Linked DNA regions of Astyanax mexicanus. The protein of the gene in region 1 interacts with the protein of each later gene in a pairwise test. Links are inferred from orthologs where the notes say so. Each region holds a gene or a part of one and is shown in the gene's direction. Other genes may lie near its edges.

Evidence for each region.
Region 2: the proteins of rfx6 (region 1) and calcium-responsive transactivator interact in binary tests that used the Homo sapiens proteins (3 or more experiments, as listed by UniProt). The two-hybrid records come from large-scale screens. The link is inferred for Astyanax mexicanus from reciprocal best matches to the Homo sapiens genes RFX6 and SS18L1.

The regions. Positions count from the first base shown.
Region 1 is NC_064408.1:80,256,959-80,260,888, forward strand, and holds the start of rfx6 (DNA-binding protein RFX6), read left to right. Parts: upstream 1-1,085; 5' UTR 1,086-1,981; coding exon 1,982-2,180; intron 2,181-2,664; coding exon 2,665-2,818; intron 2,819-2,957; coding exon 2,958-3,081; intron 3,082-3,201; coding exon 3,202-3,263; intron 3,264-3,382; coding exon 3,383-3,460; intron 3,461-3,638; coding exon 3,639-3,666; intron 3,667-3,787; coding exon 3,788-3,895; intron 3,896-3,930. UniProt on the Homo sapiens protein: Transcription factor required to direct islet cell differentiation during endocrine pancreas development. Specifically required for the differentiation of 4 of the 5 islet cell types and for the production of insulin.
Region 2 is NC_064420.1:51,064,372-51,068,301, forward strand, and holds the start of calcium-responsive transactivator, read left to right. Parts: upstream 1-1,612; 5' UTR 1,613-1,930; coding exon 1,931-1,999; intron 2,000-3,927; coding exon 3,928-3,930. Other genes in the region: proteasome subunit alpha type-7, read right to left, coding at 33-128. UniProt on the Homo sapiens protein: Transcriptional activator which is required for calcium-dependent dendritic growth and branching in cortical neurons. Recruits CREB-binding protein (CREBBP) to nuclear bodies.

The DNA.
Region 1 (3,930 bases):
GACCACAAGGATGGCGCGAAAAAAGGGCAGTGTGCGGTGAAGTGTGATGAAGTAACGTTAACATAAATATCATATTTATAATACACGTTTTTAACAGTTTAACAGAAGCTCAATAATTGAAAATACTAAAAAAAAAAAGCTAAAAAAAAAACCTGAACTCCAACATTTACATTTGTGCCACTTTCAGGAGCACTAAAATGTATTAAACTGCTATTTTGGAAATATGGTTTGTTTTTCTATGTGAAAATCACTTAAACTAATAGATACTGGCAAGACTGTTAATAATGAACACCTTATGCCAGATAACCAGACATGTATAAAATACTAGACACATAGACTTGAGTGAAAGTACAAGAGCTCTGTCAAAAAAGTGTCTTGAGTAGAACTTAAGTGGTTGTACTAAAGAATTCAAGATTTTGGTACTTAAGTATTGCACTGGATCAACAGATTTACTATTTACAGTAATTGGAAAGTAAAATTATTTATTTTCTTACAAAGCACACTTATATTGTTAGAAGACAATGCGTTTGACATGTAGGATTAATTAAAAAAGCTTAATTAAAAATGCAAAGGATTGTTGGTTTAAAACTTGTATTGGCTAAGCTTCACTGTTGGGTCCCTGAGCAAGGTCCTTAACCCTTACTGCTACCTGGGTGCCCACGTGAAAGCTGCCCATTGACTTGCTGTGTGCATTCAATGCAAGGATGAATTTAAGGCAAAGGTAAGCATGATTGACTTCATCTGGAAAAAAAAATGAAAAGCAGCAGAAGCACACACGTAGGACAGGTCCTGTTAGTCTGTAACAGATTATTGTGTTAATATTTTGTGCACTGTCCTGCTAAATCTGCTCTATTCAGATTAGCATTTAGAGTACAGTTTATAGTTGAAGTGTGCCAAATGCAAGTAGCTAGTAAAAAAAAAAAAAAAAAAAAAAAAAATATATATATATATATATATATATATATATATATATATATATATATATATATATATATATATATATATATATATATAGGAATGTCTTCCTATGTACTGGATCTACTATAATTAAAAATAAAGTGGATTGTTTGCATTTTTAAATCCTTATAATGTAAAATAAAAAAGCAAACAGGACATCTCCTCGACTATTTATAACCCCATCCCCACGCCATATTCATTAACGGAAAAAGGCCATCATAGCAACATTAATGACAACATGTAATTTGAGTGGTGGGCCATTCTCAGCAAAACAATGATATCAACATGGCTTGGTAAAGTCATTCTCTTACCCTGTTTAGTAGTCTGTTTCTAATCACATATGATCTTTTTTGGTGGACTCTCAAGCTAGTGGTGACCCTTAAATGCAAAAAAAAAAAAAAAAAAACAGTAGAAGGGGATAAAATCAGTAACCACAAACATACAAAGTGCATCTATATGGTAAAAACTTTCAGATGAAAAAAAAAAAATAGTGCTAAGGATATAAGGATGTGCATGATCTTGCTGCCCTAGCCCTGCTGAAAGCAGGCACTGCAGAATGAAGGCTCTGGATGGGGCTATAGTCCAGTGGAAAGGCCACAGAACAGGTTTGATGGAGACGATGGCCCCTCGGGTTAATCATTAATACACAGAATCTACTGCCAGTCTTCTGTAAATAAGATAAATGCCCCCAAGGCACTCACCTCAGTGACGTACTATTTCAGACACAGCACAGCTTTAATTAAGACAGGAAGGTGTAACGTATTCCAGCGGCTTGATGTTTGGATGTGGACAAAATGATTCTTTCTAAATTTCAGTTTGAATATTAGTGTAAAGGATGTTTGTGTACACTGTTTCATTTTGGTGTTAGTGATTTTTTTTCTCCAGAACCTGAGATGTGCACCATTACAGTACTGGACCAATGCATCAAACTGGAGTCTCTTTTTTAAAGTGTTTATTGAAAATATCTGGAACGGAGGAAGACTGAGTGTGTCCACAGCTCATCTTTTTGAATGAACCTGGTAACATGCCAATGAAAAGGAATAGTGGAAGTTCTGTGGAGAATAACATGTTTCATCAGCTTCAGCCACCACAGCCAAAGAGGACTTACAGTAATGCTGATGATTTCCACCCAGCAAACTCCAGTGAGCAGCAAGACCTTAGAAAAAACATGTTTTTCAAAGAAACGTTTGAGGAAGAGGAGGAGGATTCAGGAATTAAATCAGGTTAGTATTATCTTTTTCATATTTTTAGATTGGTCAGGATTAGAGCTTTAATCGGATCACATATTAGAGGCATGTTTATTTGTCTAACAGCACCGTCCATACACAGTGGAATAGATCTTATTTTGTCAGTTATAAATATATAGAAAGTTTTTTTTCGACAGTTCATATGATATACATAATTGTGCCACAGTAAAATATTTTTTTTATGGTATTATATTTTATGGTGGATGATGGTAAATTAATAAATGTCTAATGCTGGAATTTGTTATGTTTGTAAATCTCAGGTACAATGTTTATAAAACAAGAGTTTATAAAAATGGCATTTAATGCATATTAAGCTATTTTTCCATAAAGACAGCAGTAAGGAAAGTTGTTTATGATAAAATAATTATTACATTTTCAAAGCAGTATTTTAAAAAATGGCATTGATTAACCAGACCATTGAAAGTATAGTGCAATCTTTGTTTATTCATTTATTTGACAGAGGCAGAGGAAAGCAATGGAACCATATCCTCTGAAGATGACTTAGACCACCTTGAATACTCAAAGAACATTGCTCTGAAGCAAAGTGTCGAAAAGAAAAGCATCAGTCAAATCATCAAAGACAAGAAGAAACAGACCCAACTAACATTATTGTGGTACTTATTTCATTATCCTTATCCAGTTACACCAAGTTAGTTTTATCAAGCAATACTCAATAATATTACATTGACTTTACCTCAATTTCCATAAACAACTTATGCCCTATTTTGTACTTTTTACATTTTCATGAATTAGGCTTGAGGAAAACTATATAGTTTGTGAAGGTGTGTGCTTGCCTCGCTGTATCCTCTACGCTCATTACCTGGACTTCTGTCGGAAGGAGAAGCTAGATCCTGCTTGTGCCGCCACTTTCGGCAAAGTAAGCAGTGTTCCTTCAAATAGTAGAAAAATGATTTTAAGATTTTGTACACTGCAAAAAACAAAAGAAAATTTACATTTATTATTATTTACTGATTGTTTACTTTCTTTATTACTGTAGACTATACGGCAGAAATTTCCACTACTTACAACCCGGAGGCTCGGCACCAGAGGCCATTCAAAGTAAGACAAAGACAGATCACAGAGAGTGAGAGTGATACAAAAATGACTTTTTAATTAATTTGCCAGATCACCAGTTTTAGTCATGAACAGTGTTTAAATGTATTTTTTTATTGTTCCAGGTATCACTACTACGGTATAGGGATTAAGGAGAGCAGCTCCTATTATCATTCAGTTTATTCAGGAAAAGGTCTTACCAGGTAATTTTAAAGCTTCAACCAACAATGCATTTCTGCTTGTTTTTGCTCAGATCAGGAGATTCTAGGATTTAGAATTTTAAATATGTAAATTAATGCTTTATAGAAAAGTATAATGTACTTTTAAAAAAATGTAATAATTGCTATTTTTACTTAATGACTCTTTTATGCATTGTAACAGATTCTCTGGGAGCAAGCTCAAAAATGAGGTTGGCATTTTTAATAGTTGATGTTATGTTTATTGTTACTTAAATATAATGAGGAATTAAATATGAAATATTGTTATTTCTGTTAGTTCCTCAAAACATGTCTTCTTTTGCTAAATCACAGGGGGGCTTCACACGGAAATATTCACTTAGCTCTAAAACAGGAACATTACTACCAGAATTTCCAAGTGCACAGCATTTAGTACTTGATGACTCTGTTTCAAAGGAAAAGGTTTGTTTGCTGTTGTTCTAATGAATAAAATAGTT
Region 2 (3,930 bases), on another chromosome or scaffold:
GCTCAGGTGTGATCAGGTGGTTCTAGACTCACCGCGGTGGAACCTTTCTTCACGGCTTCCTGCGCGTACTCCACCTGGAACAGGTGACCGTCAGGTGAGAACACGGTGATGGCTCGGTCGTAGCTCATGGTGGTTCTGCTCAGTTCAGGTTCGGCTTCGGTTCGGTTCTGCTGGCTTGAGTCTCTCCCGGTCTCAGTTCTGTATGAAGTAAAAGTGAAAGTGAATTGACTGAATGAAACAGCAAAAATTCCAGCGCCCCCCTCCGGCACCAACACGCTACTGCACACAGGCCCCGCCCTCTAGCGCTGTGATTGGATAAGAGAGCTGGTAAAAGACGGCGATTGGTTAGAACTGGGTGGAATCAGCAGGGCAACAAGAACGAGTAGGAGATTCGCCAAATCTACAGTGATACAGCTTTTTATTCATTTATTTATTTTTTTATATTTTTACAAAATAACTATATAAGAACTATACTAATAAAACACAGGGATAAATTATAAATAGTCATTATTTATATAAAATAACACATTTGTAAAAAAAAAAATCTCTAATATAGATAAAAATAAGTGGCAATTATGTTTTTGATACAGGAAAAGGGAGAATATCTGGTTAAATAAAATAAATAAATTATAACTATTGATCTAATATAAGAAATAAATGAAAAATGCTTGTTCTAATACGTAAAAAATACATATTATATTTGTATGATATAAATACAAGAAAAATGCTAATTATTGATCGAATATTAAAATAAATTATAATTATGGACCTGATATGCCAAAACAAGTACTTATTATTTTACCAATATTTTCATTAAATAATTAATGATCTTAGATACTTAGCACTAATTATAATTTTTAATACAAGAAAAATGGAGGATAATTAGTGAACTATACAAATTATGTGGAATTAAATAGAAATTAAGTAAAGTGTGTCCAATGCAAATATATATATATATATATATATATATATATATATATATATATATATATGAAAAAATGTATACAAAAAAATTACACCAGAAAAAGTGCTAATTGCTTACCTAATATAAACGTGTAATTGTGCATAATTGAATTAAAAACAAATACTCATTTTAAGTTCTAGCCCAACATTGAAAATAAGTGCTTATTATTTGTACAGAAATACAGAAATAAAAAAACATTAAAACTGTGTAACTGTTTAATTATTTGTCTATTATAAGAAAAAAACATTATGGTGTAGCATATTTGTTGTATTATATGGTAAATATAGGTTTTAGCATAATGTGGACAGTAAGTAATTAATGATAATTATTATATTGATCCAGTAGGGACAATATATGTTTATTATTTGGCTAATATAGAAAAACATTAATAAGTTAAACATTTATACAATATGAGACGCTCAGAAAGTGCTCAGAAAATAACTATTAATGTAACATCAAAAATAATTATATTTCTAATTATTTATACAAGAAAATAAATAAATGAGAATAACCTAGCGTGTTAGTGAATGTAGGGAATAAGGAGTTAAAATTATAGAGACATAGCTGCGCATGCGCAGTGTGAGTACAGCGCTGTTATGAATGTGCGCTAGGCGGACTGTACCATAATCAGCGAGGGGGGTGTATTATTTACCCCCGGGGGCAAATCCAGCTCCTACCCTCCCTGATACACACCGCACCCCACCTGATCACCCGCGTGCGTTAGTGCAACAGTGTCCCGCGCGCTCTGGGCGCGTGCAGGTGTGTGCTGCCGTGTGCTGTTTGCAGGTGCAGGCTCGTGCGCCCCCCGCGTGCTCGGCGTGTGCGCGCGCGCAGAGAGACCCAAGCAGGCTCCGGGAGACGCGCGCGCAGAGACCTGTATATAAATATATAACACATTACTGGGGTATAATCCAGACTGGGGTGCGTGCACGCGCGTGCGCTCACGTTCCGGAGGTGCAGAGGAAGATGTCAGTCACGTTCTCGTCCACGCGCCCGAGGGGCAAAGGAGAGGTGACCCAGCAGACCATCCAGAAGGTAAGGGGGGGGGGGGGATGCTGGAGGCTGGTGCTGATGATGGTGGGAAAGTGATGCTGATGATAGTGATAATGATGATGATGATGATGATGATGATGGCCATAACGATGATGATGCTGATGCTGATGGTGACAGCTCGTCCATCCAGACAGTAAGACAATAGCCGCGCTCTGCATGCATGCCTGCACGTCCCTGCCTGCACTGGAGCTCGAGCTGCTGCTGCTGCTGTTATAATGCAATGCCACACTTGCCGTTTGCACGAGCTGTCACGTGCTGCACGTCAGCACATGCATAATTGCAGTTGGGAGCGAGCAAACCTTTTATCTTCTATTAAACATCTCCTTAAAATGATCGGTTTCTCTAATTTTACTATTTATATCTATATCTTTCAGTAAAATTGTTGTTTGATTCTATATTTTGATTTTCTATTTAATTTCAATAGTGACAACAATAATAACGAGAAAAGTACATTTTGTGATGGAACGCAGGATAGTTGTGCACCAAACATATCCTGGACATTTGCTAGGTGGTTATGTGTTGCTAGATGGTTTCTAATGTTTTGCTAGATAGTTGCTATGGTATCCCAGATGGTTGCAGGCACGTGCTATGGTGTTGCCAGGTGGTTGTTAATGTGTTGCTAGATGGTTGTTATGGTATTCCAAGGGGTTGCTAGCTAGTTGCTAGGGTGTTTGTAGGTGCTTCCTATGGTGTTGCTAGGTGGTTGAAAATGTGTTGCTAGATGATTGCTATGGTATTCCAGGTGGTTGCTATCTAGTTGCTAGGGTGTTTGTAGGTGCTTGCTAATGTTTTGCTAGATAGTTGCTATGGTATGCCAGGTGGTTGCCAGCTGGTTGCTAGGGTGTTTGTAGATGCTTGCTAATGTATTGCTAGATAGTTGCAATAGTATCCCAGATAGTTGCTACCTGGTTGCTTGGGTCTTTGTAGGGGTTTGCTTATGTGTTGCCAGATGGTTGCTATGGAGTTTGTGGGTTGTTGCTATGGTGTTGCCAGGTGGTTGTTAATGTGTTGCTTGGTGGCTGCTATGGTATCCCAGGTTGTTCCTAGCTGGTTGCTAGGTTGTTTGTAGGTGCTTGCTAATGCATTACTAAATAGTTGCAATGGTAGGTGGTTTCTAATGTGTTGCTGGATAGTTGCTATGGTATTCTAGATGGTTGCTATGGAGTATGCAGGTGCTTGCTATTGTGTTGCTATGTGGTTGCTAGCTGCTTGCTAGGCTGTTTGTAGGGGGTTGCTAATTTGTTGCCAGGTGTTTACCATGGTATACCAAGTTGTTGCTATGGTGTTGCCACATGGTTGCTAGCTGGTTGTTATGGTGTTGATAGCTGGAGGTAGTTTCATCTACAGCTCACAGTGAGAGCTAGCCAGGCTAAATATAAGTACAGCTTCCAAACATGGTGGAGGTAGTTTCATCATCTACAATTCGGTGAAAGCTAGTACTGTCTGAGCTGTCACCCATTGCTACTGACACAGATGTGCAAATGCACACACTGCTTGCCTAGTCCCTGCAGAAGAGTGCTGAAAATAACTGCCAATAGAATAGGACCCTCTGGAGCAGATATACATAAACCTATTGGAACTATGCCTAATGCCTGGACACACTAATGCTAATGTTGCTGAATGCAATCAAACCCTAACAGTAGTGCTCCAGAATATAGGAGAAAGTTTTATTTGGATAGTAGACATAAGGGAAATGAGGAGGTTCTGGGTGACCCAGTTTAATCAGAGCGAGTTCTGGTGGAACTGAAGAGCCAGAAACCCACAGCGGCTCTACAGCAGAGGTTACAGGTTTAGCTGAAGCTCTATTAACCTAATAATAGTGTGTGTGTGTGTGTGTGTGTGTGTGTGTGTGTGTGTGTGTGTGTGTGTGTGTGTGTGTGCGTGTGTGTGTGTGTTTTCTTATATATAAGATG